Linked DNA regions of Stegostoma tigrinum. The protein of the gene in region 2 interacts with the protein of the main gene of each other region in a pairwise test. Links are inferred from orthologs where the notes say so. Each region holds a gene or a part of one and is shown on either strand. Other genes may lie near its edges.

Region 1 (7,792 bases), on a different chromosome or scaffold from region 2:
TGGTGGCGGTTCAGTTTGCTTTACTTTTAAATCTGAGAGCAGGAGGCTCTGAGTTCAAGTCCCACTGCATGAACATAAATCTCTAGTCCAAGCTGAGGCTAAGGTAGAAGGCTGTTCCTCTTACGGCGCTACCTTCCAAATGACATTGCCACATGTCGGCTCGATGTAACAAACCTCATAACTATATTTTCAAAACAGTAGGAGAATTCTCCATGGTATCCGGACCAATATGTATCCCTCAATTGCCAATGTTAAAAAAACTTAACATTTACCTTATTTTGTTTGTGGCACCTTATTATGTGCGTATCGTCTATCATCACATTTCCATTGCAATAGTGACAATACTTCAAATGGCTTTACTGGTTGTGGGCTGCTTTCTGAAGATGTCCTGAGACTTTCTTTCACTAGCTACGGGATTGTAAGGCCACAATAAATGCAATTCAGTACAATACAATTACAATACAATATAATCATCCAATCCAATCCAAAGTGCAGGCAGAGAGAATAACTGTTAACAATAATCTAAAATTGATCCCAATTCCCATTTTCTAAAGTAGAATATGAAGGAGTATAAAATACAGTAACAACTTGTTAAAGGTTTCAGAATTTGTGCTGTAGTAATCTTGAAATATCTCATTACTTCAGCATTTCTGACTGCACAAGACAGGTAGAAAAATCCAGCTTTGGTTTGGGTGTTATTGAGCAATTGTTTACATTGTGTCTTCCAGTTGTAGTGCCAGGTTTCCACCTCAGTGATCATTCAGCTCTTTCTAAGCAATAACATGCAGATATCTTGCGGACCACGAGACAGGGGTCTGAAATATCTGTGTACCTGGCGTCTAAAGGGGATTTGTTTTACTCCCTATGTTTCCATTAAAATTGGACAAAGATGTGACAAAGTGTGACACTCTTCAAAATGTTTAAATCGAATCACTTCAGCAGATTTCATCCTGATGAAAGAGTGTGAGGCTGCATCACAAACCTGGTTGTGCATTGACCTGTCATTCATTAATCTAACTGACGTGAAATGTGAGGATAAGATGTTGGATCAAAAATAACCGTGTTAGTGAAACAGGGAGGGTGCCGTTTGTGCTTTCAACTTGGTGTGAGGCATATTGTTCATGCAGATCAGATCAGTTCATAGAGCGCCATTAAAGGAGAATCGGCTCCATGCACAAAGCTTCAGTTCTCACAACTTGCTCCATTTAGCTAAGATGAGCTCTGCAAAAAGTTGTGTGACCTATTAATCACCATAATGCTCCACAATGGAGCATATTTGCCACAGTTAATCTGGGTAAAGCAAACAGCCAGATGCCTTTCTCCATGAGCTCCTCCCATGCTTCTTTGTCATTGATTTCTGGAGCCCAACAGGTCACAGAAAAAAATGATAATGGCTGGTTCCAGTTCCTTTGAAACTTTCAATATGTACCAAAGGATCATTTTCAACACCTTGGGCTTTTCACTACTACATCTTGTTATGGACCAGACCAGACCTCCTCAAAATATATAAAATAGGTAGCCTAGACCCTAACTTTTTCTTATTTTAAATGTAAATGTGAAGTGATGTGGTCCAGATGCAATTCGATTGGTCAAATTACTCGATGTTCAGCAATACACAATTTATTCTAATACAACAAAAGAAAGAGGACCTTGGAATAACTTAACTCAATTGGAAAACTTAAGCGGATAATAGATTATTTTACTATTAAACATTAACTGTTCCAATATAGTAACCTCCCATAAAAATACTGAATGTCAAAAAGCAAAATCAGGAAACAGAATTGTCTCACATGCAACTCCAGCTGCCCAGGAGGAAAAACATCGGGAGTAAACTTAGAGAGTGTAGCCACTGGGAGAGATTGACTCCCTTCTAATCCTGCTGAGACCCCAGCAACATCTGCTGGGGAGAAAACTAATTATGGCTTCTATAAGGACTTGACCACCACCACCCCTCCCTCCAACCCACAACCATCACCGCTGTCAGGCTGTTTCAGTTGTTCCAACATTAAAAACAAACTCAAGGCTCCACAAGATGTTTACTCTAATGGTTTTGGTAAACTGATCATCACCCCTGCCTTAAAACCTCTCTTCTAGAAAAAAAACAGGACAAAATAGCCTCTCAAAGCCACAGCATTGTCACAGTCTCTTCAGAAGACAGAGAGAAAGAACAGAAAGCAAGATCCATAATGAGGGCTACCACAAATGTTGCTTTGATTAACACTTAACTCTAGCAATTTACATTCTTTACAAAGCCATAGCACCTATTAGTCTCCATTGACACAAAAATGTATGTTCTGTGCAATAGCATGCCGCGCGTTAATGACGACTGCTTCACCCTTCTGTCTGTTTTCAAAGGTGGCAAATAACACAGTGACAACCAGTTGTGCTTGGTGTTAGGCACAACTTGGTGTTTTTTACAACTTTGTGCCTTTTGAAAACATAGATCAAAAATCACACGACACCAGGTTATAGTCCAGCAGCTTTGTTTGAAAACACAAGCTTTTATAGCTCAGCTCCTTCCTCAGGCATAGTTTGAGAGAGAAGGTATAAGACACAGAATTTATAAGCAGAACAGTATCAACCCTAAAACTGGTTACCTCTTGCTGAATCGTTAATCAGTTCGGAAGGAGACTACTAATTAAATGTACAATCCAGATTCCTTTCAAGTCATTGTCCTGAGATAATTAAAGGTTTTATCAATGTATAAAAGAGGTGATATCTTGGGTCAGACAATGCATTTTAGGTGTGAGTTCTTGTTTATACTCTGTGTATGTTTTAAACTGGAGTCAGGTCTTTTCTTGAACCAGACAGAATGTATCTGCAACTACACAAACATCTTAGATGAAATAATTCATGTGTGTGTCTGAGAGACTGTGTGCGCACGCGCGCGCGCGCGCGTGTGTGTGTGTATATGGGTGGGTGCGTGTGTTGTGTGACAGAGGGTCTGTGTAAGTGTGTGTGTGTGTCTGTGTGTGTGTGTGTGTGTGTGTGTGTGTGTGTGTATGGGTGGGTGCATGTGTTGTGTGACAGAGGGTCTGTGTAAGTGTGTGTGTGTGTCTCTGTGTGTGAGTGTGTGTGTGTGTGTGTGTGTATATATGTGTGCATGTGTGTGTGTGTTTGTGTGACACAGGATAGGGATACAGGAAGAATTAAAAGGCATTCTGCTCCATAAGCCCACTTCCGCGCTTCAGTGAGATCGTAGCTGATCTTTGATCTTACTCTAAACCCTTTGCTTGCTATCCCTGACTACTTCTCATGAATAAAGAGACATCAATCTCAGATTTAAACTCAATAGTTGATCTAACCTCAAATACCATTTACATGAGAGAGCTCTAAGCTTCAATTACTCTTTTTCTGTCAAAGTGTCTTCTAATCTCATCCCTGTAAGGTCTATCTATTATGTACCAAGTGCTAAAATCTCCAAGCAGTGGAAAGAGTTTATCCCTGCCTGTTCTCCTTTAAGGACTTTCCAGGGCCACACAGCTGTTCCTGTATGGAATTGCACATTGGGCCTCTGTGGAATTCCTGACATAACTGACTCTGAAGAAATTACCCCAGAACTTGAAGATTCTGGTGGCCAGTTGCTCTATGCATGGAGCCTCCAGAAGTATCCATTTCAATCAGAAAATTCTGAGGGTCCCATTACTGTGAGGTAAACAGTTGTCGAGGAAAAGGTGGAAGGTTAAATACCTAAATACAACTCCTGAGTAACTATTCAGCTGATTGCTGCCTTCAACGTTACCCACCTTCTCAACTACACCTCTCCCAGTATAGTTACCTGCCAGCACCCTAAGCCTCACCAATGTCCTGACACCCATACACCCCTCCTCCACCACCAGTGCTGGTATCCAACTCCTCTCCCCATTAGGACCGGAAACTCTCACCGCTCCACCACTCCCCCCCACCCCCACCAACCTCACCCCCACCACCCCCAACCCAAGACTCAACATGCTCCTGCCACCTGACTGGACAGACCTTACCCCAATGGACCTGGCACCCGCCCTCCCACCCAGAACCTAATGTATTCACCCCCTCACCCTGGCACTTTGCCAAACACAAATTCTTGGCCCACTGTGCCCAACTGTACCTAAACAGTCACACCATTGTACACAATACCTTGCACCACTGTACCCAACCGTACATAAACCCTTGCATCCTGTACCCAACAGCGCTTAAACACTCAGACCCACTGTACCCATCTATCCATGAACCCTCACACTACTTGCCCTTTGCAAAGATTCTCTTTATTGTGAGCACCACCGGTAGCGTTCTAAAGCGATTTTCCCTAGCCTCCCATGACATCTAAGTCTGCTCACCTCATCGTGAATCCCTCCTGCGCTTTCTCCTTACTCTAAGGTAGGTTTGATGAAGCCGGATGCAAATTTCCAAACATGGGCCCAACCAATTATTTGGATAGGTTTGTTCCTCCACTTGGTTTAGCTTTCTCAGGAGACACGTGAGATGTACAAGAACTGAGCAGACGTAAGAGGTTATTGTTGTGCAACAGATATTAGGTCTGCCAACAGTAATGGAAGACATGCCATACATAATATAATTAACCTTCAAGTCTATTGTGTTATATTCATCAGAGACAATCTAGATCGTCACAGTTTTGCAGCTCTGCGATGTTCTACTTAGGTTCCAGTGAGATGATGGGTACTTTAAAAGAAATTGCTGTATCATTTACACTTCATTAAGTTGCAACTGATGTAGCCAGTCTGAGGGATGTGGCGAACCTCGTACACCGATTGGTCAGAACTATCCGCATAGGGACTGCAGTGAATTCAATAATAGCTTTCAACTTGCAACTCAAGAGAGGATAAAAGGATCTCTGTCCGACAGCAAAAAACTTGCAGTCAACTGTACGCTGAAAGTTAGCTGGAACCACACCAAGGTAAGGAGAATAAAACTGTTTGTGTGGAATGAAACTGGGATGCATCAATATGATCTGTGTCAGTTAAAGACAATCTCACTTAATGCCGTTAGCGGAAAATTCTGACTGGAATGTATTTTATTAAATAAGGTCCTTCTCCTGGGAGAATTGGAATAAAGCCACTCCTTAAGTATATTCAGGCTTGATTCAAAGCTGAACAGAGAGAGTCAAACCCACTGTCTGAGAGGGTAGAGGAGCGGGTTCATTTGTCATTTTAAAATGAGAATTGGGTGAATATTTGAGAAGGAAGAATCTGTTGGGCTATGGATAGACAGCAGGGGAGCGGAGCTTTATTATACTCTTCTTCTTTCCTCAGAATTAGCATAGGGTAGGCAGGCTGCCTGACAGTGTGATAAAGCCTTTCTTAGCAGAAGTGCTTGAACATCACAGAGAGAATAAAAATAGATCAAAAGAAAAACGCAAATGCTGAAAATCAAAATTAACAACAAATTAAAAAGAATGGCTGGTACTGATACAGCAAGATCAGTCTGAATCTACAGAAACATGGAACAGACAGTTAATGATCATCAGATCTGTTTCTCGTTTTTATGATTTTTGTTTCTTAAACTGTGTGCTGTTTCAAGCTAAGGACTCCAGTGCAACTTGTTGCAGAACGTACAACTAACTGAGTCTGTGGATGAGCTTGGAGGGGTTCACAGCATATGGAACCCAGTCCCCTTCCAAGCCCTTCAGAGTGACTGGCTCATGAAAGGAAAGCATTGCTTCTAAGCGCTAAACTTATGAGTTGTTATGAACGGGACTGTGTTGCTTGAAAGGCTGATGTAACTTTGGAAAGGGGAATGAAAATACACTTGAAATGCAGGGAGAAACAAAAAGGGTAGAATTAATTAGTTATCCCTCTGAAAGAGCAAGTTCAAACCTGATGAGTCGAATAACCCACTTGCCTGTTGTAAGATTCCACTTGATTGAGTAAAATATATAATTCATAAAGCATCTTGAAGACATTGAAGAATAGCCAACATGGTGGACACAGGATTCTTACACTTTTCATTTTTGTTGGTGTTCAACTTCTTCAAAAGAAATAAACTGCTTTTCAATGAATATGAAACAGGTATTTTGTAAATTACTGCCTATCCGAGCTGCTCCCTGCATGTGAATTACCACCCACAAGCTCCAGTTTACAGAAAATCATTCTTCATTTCCAAAACAGCAAAGTGAACAAGGACAAGGATCACACATCACTATTGCTACTTTCAGAGTCTTAAGAGCATCATTGCAGCCAGAACTCCACTTCTGCTGAGAGAATTCTGCTGGATGTGCTATTGTTCAGATGAGATGTTCATTAAGGCCCCATTCAACCTTCTCAGCTAACTTAAAACAACTTATGGCATTATTCTGATGAAGGCAGTAAATGTATCGAATGTTTCTAGCGTGCGTGTGTGTGTGTGTGTGTGTGTGTGTGTGTGTGTGTGTGTGTGTGTGTGTGTGTGTGAGAGAGAAAGAGAGACAGAGACTGTGTGCATGTGTTTTTGTTCCTCAGAATATGGCTGGCTGGTGTGTGCTCATGACAATTAAGACCCTGTGGGTGGAGTCTTTTAACATGGGATAGCTGGTGTCCTGCAGGCTATTATACATTTCTGGCTGACCACAAGACTGTCCAACTCTTATTACCTGTTAGAAATGCATAACAAGGATTTATAGGTTGACTACATTGGAACAGTGTCTACACTTTAAAAAGTATTACATTGGCTGGGAAGCAGCTTACGATGTCCCGAGATCTTAAAGGGTGCAATAGAAATGCAAGCTTTTCTTCCTGGGAAAATGAGTTATGCCATGGGCCTCCCTGATTAATTTCCCACTGCTACCTAACAGAGTAAACTTGAATGATGGAGCTGCTTTACTGCTCCTGAGCAAGACACTGATCTGAACTTGGTCCTTCAGAAAACATTTAACAACAATGAAACAACATAGCACAGGGATTTTGAGATGTTCCCTTAATTCATTAAGTGTCAATGTTGAAACATGAGAATCCGTAGACAGCCAATTGGTTGCCAGTCTCTCAGCAATGAGTTTGTTATTAGATTGTAGTCAGGAAGTCCAGGAGGTGATATTTGTGAAGTGACCAGAAATGTGGATTGTCACTGCATTAAGGTTTTATTTAAAATCGTACAAACCTGCCTTGTTTCTTTTGTATTGGGTATTGGATCCTCAGGAATCCTAAAGATTGACACACAAACAATGCCGATACAATAGCACTCCCTGTCATAACATTAAGTCATACTAACAAGTGGTCCTACTGTCCAATTTAAATGAATCAATTAAGCAATCCTTGGTGTTGCAACCATGGCAACATTGAATGAACCAATATTTCCTGCAATGAACAAAAGGTCAATCCACATAAATCCACTTTACTTTCAGACTGACTGAAAGTTTAAACAGTTATGCTTTGGAGCAAATTTTTGAGACAAAATATTGCCCAGACTGTCATCTCACAAAATCCAGTGATAATTATGGCAAAGGAAATCCATTTAACATCCATCCAGAGAAATGTTCATCTCACTCCGCTGTAACTTTAGTTACTTTGATTCTAAAGCTTTATGCCCCGCTTCTCTTTTTCTGAAGAAAAGTGTTCTTTTAACCCTGGTTTCTCGTAGCACCGACATGAGAGGACACATGGAATCAGCCTTTTAACTCTTCACTGCCCATCCTGCAGCTCATAAATGTCTTCCTTATTTCTTGATCAGCAGAAACTGGAGAGAGGGTTCAAAGTGTTACTCCATGAAAACTCTAAGCTGCTGTTGCCTCATTTGTTTATGAAATATGTGGGAAGTGCTTGGTGTACTTTGTGGTTTTTTGATGTCAGCCCAGATAAAATACAAGTCAAGGAGTCAGGTTTTT
Region 2 (6,947 bases):
ATCCTATCAGCAAATGCCATCTTAAACTAAATATTCAAAACAATGGGTCTACTATTGCCTGGAGTTGATTGTGATGATTTGATTTAAAAACTAGGAGGTCATGAGGTCAAAGTCTCATGTTTATTTCATCCTTTTATTTGAGGGGGAAGGGAGAAATGGGGGAAGCAGAAGCAGTTTGGACTTATGCTAGGCACAGTTAACTAATATTGACTATAACAGGGAAGCTCTCATCTTATCTGAATTTCATTTTTAGTGTTCTTATAGTTTATTAGAGGTCAGGATTGCTGTATTTCCACACATTTCTGAACAGTGTCCAGGGTCTAGGCCCGAAACGTCAGCTTTTGTGCTCCTGAAGGATGAAGGGTCTAGGCCCGAAACATCAGCTTTTGTGCTCCTGAGATGCTGCTTGGCCTGCTGTGTTCATCCAGCTTCACACTTTGTTATCAAAGTGAAATTCCTGTCTAGTTCATATGATGTGTTCTATCAGCCCAGATTCATCAAACTGCCCCCCATGACACCATGTTCTGAATTCCAGAATCAATTTAGTTTTCCTCCGCTCAGTATTTCTTTTAGTGATAAGGCATTGGATTGGTTTCTTAGTAACAAATGGTAGCAGGCTAAAATAAATTGATTTATCTTACATTTTACCGATTGTGGTACTGTTTTGAATTAAAACTAAATACATCAATTTAGTTTTTAGCAGGTGAGTAGATTTTCAGAACTAAAGAGACTTACCCTGGGATTCTGGTATTATTCCTCTGTTAAATATGTTCTAATTTACTTAGTCATCTTTTCTCAGTTAATTTTTTTAAAGTCTCTAAACTAAAGTCCTTGTGACTTTACTCACAAAACCAAACAAGTCATTGTCTATAATAGGAGTGTGGTTATAATCAGTAATATATGTTAAATAGGCACCCGGGTTCGATTCCAGACTTGGAGTTTGCGCGTTCTCCCTGTGCCTGTGTGGATTCTCTCCAGGCACTCTGGGTTCCTCCCACAGTCCAGAGGTGTGCAGGTCAGGTAGATTGGCCATTCTAAATTGCCCCACTGTGTCCAGGGATTTGCAGGCTAGGTGGGTTAGCCATGGGAAATGCAGGGTTACAGGGAGGAGTGTGAATCTAGGTGGGATGTTCTTTGGAGGGTCAGTGTGGACCTGATGGGCTGAATGGCCTGCTTTCATGCTCTAGGTATGCTATGATGATTCTATGATATATATCTGGTATTCAATAATCCCTCTCACATTTTCGTCTGCATAATTTATGAATACCGCAAACGAGAAGGGACACAGCACTGATCCCTGTGGTACACCACTGCACACTAGGCACCACTTACACTTCAGCAAAACTCTCTATCTCCTATTACTAAGCTAATTTTTACTAAACCGAAGCACCCGGAGGAAACCCGCGCAGACATGGGGAGAATGTGCAAACTCTGCACAGACAGTTGCCCAAGGCTGGAATTGAACACGGATCCCTGGCGCTGTGAGGCTGCAGTGCTAACTACTGAGCCACCGGGCCGTGGATAGATAACTGGCTAGGCAACAGGATGCAGAGAGTTGTAGTGGAAGGGAGTTTCTCAAAATGGAGAACTGTGACCAGTGGTGTTCCACGGGGATCCGTGTTGGGACCACTGTTGTTTGTGGTATACATAAATGATCTGGAGGAAGGTACAGATGGTCTGATTAGCAAGTTTGCAGATGACACCAAGATTGGTGGAGTAGCAGATAGTGAAGGGGACTGTCGGAGAATGCAGCATAATATAGATAGATTGGAGAGTTGGGCGGAGAAATGGCAGATGGAATTCAATCCAGGCAAAAGCGAGGTGATGCATTTTGGAAAATACAATTCAAGAGAAAATTATTTATAAATGAAGAGCCCTGGGGAAAATTGATGCACAGAGTGAGTGTTCAGGTCCATTATACCCTGAAGGTGGCACGGCAGGTCAATAGAGTGGTCAAGAAGGCATACGGCATGCTTCCATTCATCGGACGGGGTATTGAGTACAAGATTTAGCAGGTTATGTTACAGTTGTACAGGACTTTGGTTCAACCACATTTGGAATACTGCATACAGTTCTGGTCGCCACATAACCAAAATGCTTTGGAGAGGGTGCAGAGGAGGTTCACCAGGATGTTGCCTGGTATGGAGGGCGCTAGCTATGAAGAGAGGTTGAGTAGATCAGGATTATTTAATTAGAAAGACGGAGGTTGAGGGGGGACTTGATTGAGGTCTACAAAATCATGAGAAGTATAGACAGGATGGGTGGCAAGAAGTTTTTTCCCACAGTGGGAGACTCAATTACTAGGGGTCACGATTTCAAGGTGAGAGGCAAAAAGTTTATTGAGATATGCGTGGAAAGTTCTTTACGCAGAAGGTGGTGGGTGCCTAGAATGTGTTGCCTGTGGAGGTGGTAGAGGCAGGCACGATAGTGTCATTTAAGATGTATCTCGACAGATCCATGAATGGGCAGGGAGCAGAGGGATACAGATTCTTGGAAAATAGACGACAGGATCTGAATCAGCGCAGGCTTGGAGGGCTGAAGGGCCTGTTCCTGTGCTGTAATTTTCTTTGTTCTTTGACAGACACCTCAGTACCTCACTCTACCGCAAGCCCAACAGATAACTTCACAATGCCGTACATGTCTGGCTTCCACCTTAAACATGTTAAGGAAGCTATCCCCTCGGGACAAGCCCTGCATATACACAAGATCTGCTCAGACAAGGAGGAATGCAATGGACACCTAAAGATTTTGAAGGACAGCCTCATAAGAATGAGATACAACTCTCAACTCATCGATTGCCAGTTTCAAAATGCCACAATGAGAAACCATTAGACACAACCAACAGAGTACCCTTCATCATGCAGTACTTCGCCAAAGTGGAGAAAGTACGCCATGGTTCTAGCAGCCTTCAACATGTCAGTGATGATGACAAACATCTTGCCAAGATCATCCATATGCCTCCACTTCTCACCTTCAAACAATTGCCAAAAATTAAACACACCATCGTTCACAGCAAACTACCCAGCTTTCAGGGCGACATCGACCACAACACCACACAGCTCTGCCATGACATGTGCTCTGCAAGACATGCCAGATCATCGACATGGACACTACCATCAAACGTGGGAACACCACCCACTACGTACACAGCAAATATTCATGTGACTCAGCCAACGCTGTCTACCTCATACGTTATAGGCAAGGATGTCCTAATGCATGTTGAGGAGACCATGCAGACGCTACAACAATGGATGAATGGACACTGCGCAACAATTGCCAGACAGGAATATTCCCTCCCAGTCGGCGAACACTTCAGTGGTCAAGGACAGCCTCTAATCTTGGGAAACATGGTTAGCTACCCACGTACAGGAGGAACTAGAGCAAACCATATATTAAGCTCTCTTGCCGACTTACCCCCATGATTTAAACCTTTATTTAATCAATTACTTTAGGAGTCTTCTTCCCTTGAGAAATTTAAAACAGAATATCGCCCTTACAAGCTGTAAAACACAAAATAAAAACTTTCTAAGGGCTCTTGTGATTCAGTGGTAGTGTCCATACTTTTGAGCCAGGAAGTCCCACCTCTAAAAAAAATGTGTAATACCATGTCTGAACATGTTGAATCGAAAAAAGATTTTTTTGAACTGAGTAGCTGCGCAGTCAAGCAGCTTCCACTTGCCCCACCCACCGTGCACAAAACCCCGCCCACCACGTCAAGGAGCACACCCACTTTTTTGCCCCGCCCCGCCCCGCCCCGCCCCGCCCAGCCCACGAACAACGAACACCCCGCCTTATCGCTCGCCCCGCCCACTGGGCACAGTGAGCCTGCTCCAGTTACGTCACCCCGCACACTGCGCAAAGGACACACCCCTTTATCGCCCCACCTTCGCCGCAAAAGACGCATTTACGCCTTGAACACCCCGCCCACCGATTGGAAGCTCCTCCCATGTTTGTGACCCGGATGCGTAGCGGGCTCATCACGGGACAATGATTTCCGGTTGCAGTTGAGTTTAAAGGTAAAGGGGGGGGCGCGGTTGGAACTGTATTTGTGGTAAGAGTTATTTGTGTTTGTTGAGTGGTGGGTGTAATAAGATGTGCCCGTGTTTGTGGAGAAGCGGAAATAGGGAGGGCTGCGGGGTGAGCTATTGTTCATGGAGTAGGTTACTTTTGTTTGTCAAGCACTTGGGGTGTCCTGGGCAGTGTTTGTGGGGAAAGTGTCAATCTAGAAGAATGTAGTGTGCGGGAACTGCTACCACCTGTGACTCAAAACCCCGTTTATAAACAGAATTGAGATGTGATTTTTTTTTGTTTTACGAGAAGCTAGGGAAGGGTAGATAAGTGGTTCTGTTTTGCTTGAACTGTCATTAGTTAAGAGGGATAACCTAAGCTGTAGAAACCGTTTTGGGTAAAAATGAGAAATGATGATGTCAAAGTCACCTTTGCATCTGGTTTGTAAACCTCTTAAGAAAATATTGCACTAAGGTGGAAAATTCTACAGGACCTTCACAGAAATTCATTTGTAATAATCATCGGAATTTAGAAAAGCCTGGTGCTCAAGGATAATGTAGATAAAGCGTTTCACGAACTTTTCGGACACTTCCTTGGTACGGCGTATTCGGAATCAACAAAGTTGAAATCTGGCATTCGTCATACAAAATGATTGACTAATGCTTTTATAATGATGGTATTGCTGGAGAACTGCACATGCAATATGACTAAACTTGTTCATTTAGTTTGAGTTGTGATATGAATGGATCTCTTGAGTCAACAGCATTGCCGTGGTTCTGGAGTCCTTTCCTAAAAGAAAATTTTTAGTCGACGTTTTGAGCCGAGACCCTCCTTCAGAACTGGGAAGGGAGTTAGGAATAGAGGGAGGAGGGATGGGGCTGGGGGAAGGTAGGTGGGATGGTTATAGGTGGCTGTAGGTAGGGCTGGTGGGGATTGGTCAGTGGAAAGGGTAGGGCAGATAGGTGGGGAAGAAGATGGACAAGTTATGTCAGGTCAAGGAGGCAGGGATGAGCAGGAGGTTTAGATGTGTGTTGGGGAGATTTTAAACTGGCTAATTCTGTGTTAAGGTCATTGAGCTGTAGGCTCCCAAAGTGACAATACCTGGCTGCTAACCACTTTAATTCCACCTTCCAGTCCCACTCCTATGATGACATGTCTTTCCTGGGCTGCCACCAGTGACACAATGACACTACACACTTGCTTGAGGAGCAAGTGGCCACACCCCCCCGACTTATTTCCCAGCTCCCTACTCCCTACTCCCTTCTCCACTTCTCTTCTCCCCCCCCCCCCCTCCTCCACGTCACCCCATGCCCCCCCCAAGTTCTGAAGAAGGGCCTGAACCTGAAACATCAACTTTCCTGCTCCTCTGCTGCCTGACCTGCTGTGTTCCTCCAGCTCCATACTATGTTGTCTCTGACTCCAGCATCTGCAGTTCTTGCTATCTCCAAATGCAATATGTCAGTACTCATTTGAAGAAAGTTAGGAATAGAAGAGCAGATCTATATCCTCAGCAGTACCAATCACTGGTCAGGCCTCATTTGGAACACTGACCAGTTTTGGGCTCTGTGTCGAAGGATGGATGCGTATGGCAAAGATGGAAATTTGCAAGAATTTTGCTGGGGATGGAGAGCTTGTCATGTAAGGAGTGGGTGGGGTCTCTGGACCTGAACTTGGAGTTTTGAGGAATGAGGGGTGATCTGATTTTAAAACCTAGGGAATATGAAGAGGCCTGGATACAGTGGACACGGTGAACATGTTTCCACTTCTCAGTGAGACTAGGAGCTGAGCGCATAGCCTCAGAGTGAAGGGATGACTGAGATGAGGAGGAATTTATTTAGTCAAAGGATCATGAATCTGTGAAATTCATTGCTGTAGGATGCTATGGTGGCCAAGTCATTGAGTGTGTTTAAGGTGGAGCTGGATAGGTTTCTCGATTGATAAGGGAATGAGAGATCATTGGGAAAAGGCAGAAGAACAGGGTTGAGAAACACTTCAGCTATGATTAAATGGCAGAGTTGCCTCGATGGGCCAAATGGACCAATTATACCCTATACCTTATCTTTATGATTAGTCACTATGGCGATTTCTCCATTCTTCAGTATTTATTTTGAAACTGCAATATATATCCTCAAGAAAATAAAAATCTACTGGATAAACAGGTCTGCAGCATCTGTGGAGAGAAAATAACAAAGTTAATGTTTCTGGTCCAGTGATCCTCCTTCAGAATGCTGAATATAGGTCTTCAATTGTGTGTTTTCATTCATACTTTAAGCTTATATCTCAAGGATTTATTGTTGATATAGTACTCAAAGGATATGACTGCCAAGTTTCTTTCTTGGAATTTCTTCCAATATTTTCTTGAGGTAAAATGCCATATTGATCTCAGCAAGTGTGAGAATATCTGCCACTTTAGTATCCTTCTGGCTTCCCAAACTAAAAGGCAACATTTTACTTTTTCACAAGAAAGCCCAACAGAGATTTCAGTAAGTATCACAAATGGCAGTTTTCATGTTTCTAGTATCTCCTAATGATGTAAGCTTCATAACACAACCCTTCATCTTTAATTTCAATCAGTCATGCCATAGAGTCATCTATCATGGAACAGACCCTTTGGCCCAACTCATCCACACTGACCGGATTTCCGAAACTGATATAGTCCCATATCTGTCGACCTCCCCTATTCAAATGTCTTTTAAAAGTTATTGTACTCTCCTCTACCACTTCTTCTGGCAGCTCGTTCAGTACACACGTTGTTTGAATATTCTGTTCACCTGAATGACACCTTACACCTTGGGATTAGTCATCGTTGTACTCAATGCTAATATTTTAAATCTGGCATCTGGCCTTGTTTGGGTGCCAGACAATTCAGCTTTTCGGTTGGATTTTGCTATTCTTCCATTTCAGTCTTTTAAGTGCCCGTGTTTTTGTTTGAGAGACCC

Evidence for each region.
Region 1: the proteins of spg21 (region 2) and s100b interact in binary tests that used the Homo sapiens proteins (3 or more experiments, as listed by UniProt). The two-hybrid records come from large-scale screens. The link is inferred for Stegostoma tigrinum from reciprocal best matches to the Homo sapiens genes SPG21 and S100B.

The regions. Positions count from the first base shown.
Region 1 is NC_081360.1:22,921,828-22,929,619, reverse strand, and holds the start of s100b (protein S100-B), read left to right. Parts: upstream 1-4,768; 5' UTR 4,769-4,894; intron 4,895-7,792. UniProt on the Homo sapiens protein: Small zinc- and- and calcium-binding protein that is highly expressed in astrocytes and constitutes one of the most abundant soluble proteins in brain.
Region 2 is NC_081386.1:721,256-728,202, reverse strand, and holds the start of spg21 (maspardin), read left to right. Parts: upstream 1-3,935; 5' UTR 3,936-4,016; exon of another isoform or gene 4,017-4,051; intron 4,052-6,947. UniProt on the Homo sapiens protein: May play a role as a negative regulatory factor in CD4-dependent T-cell activation.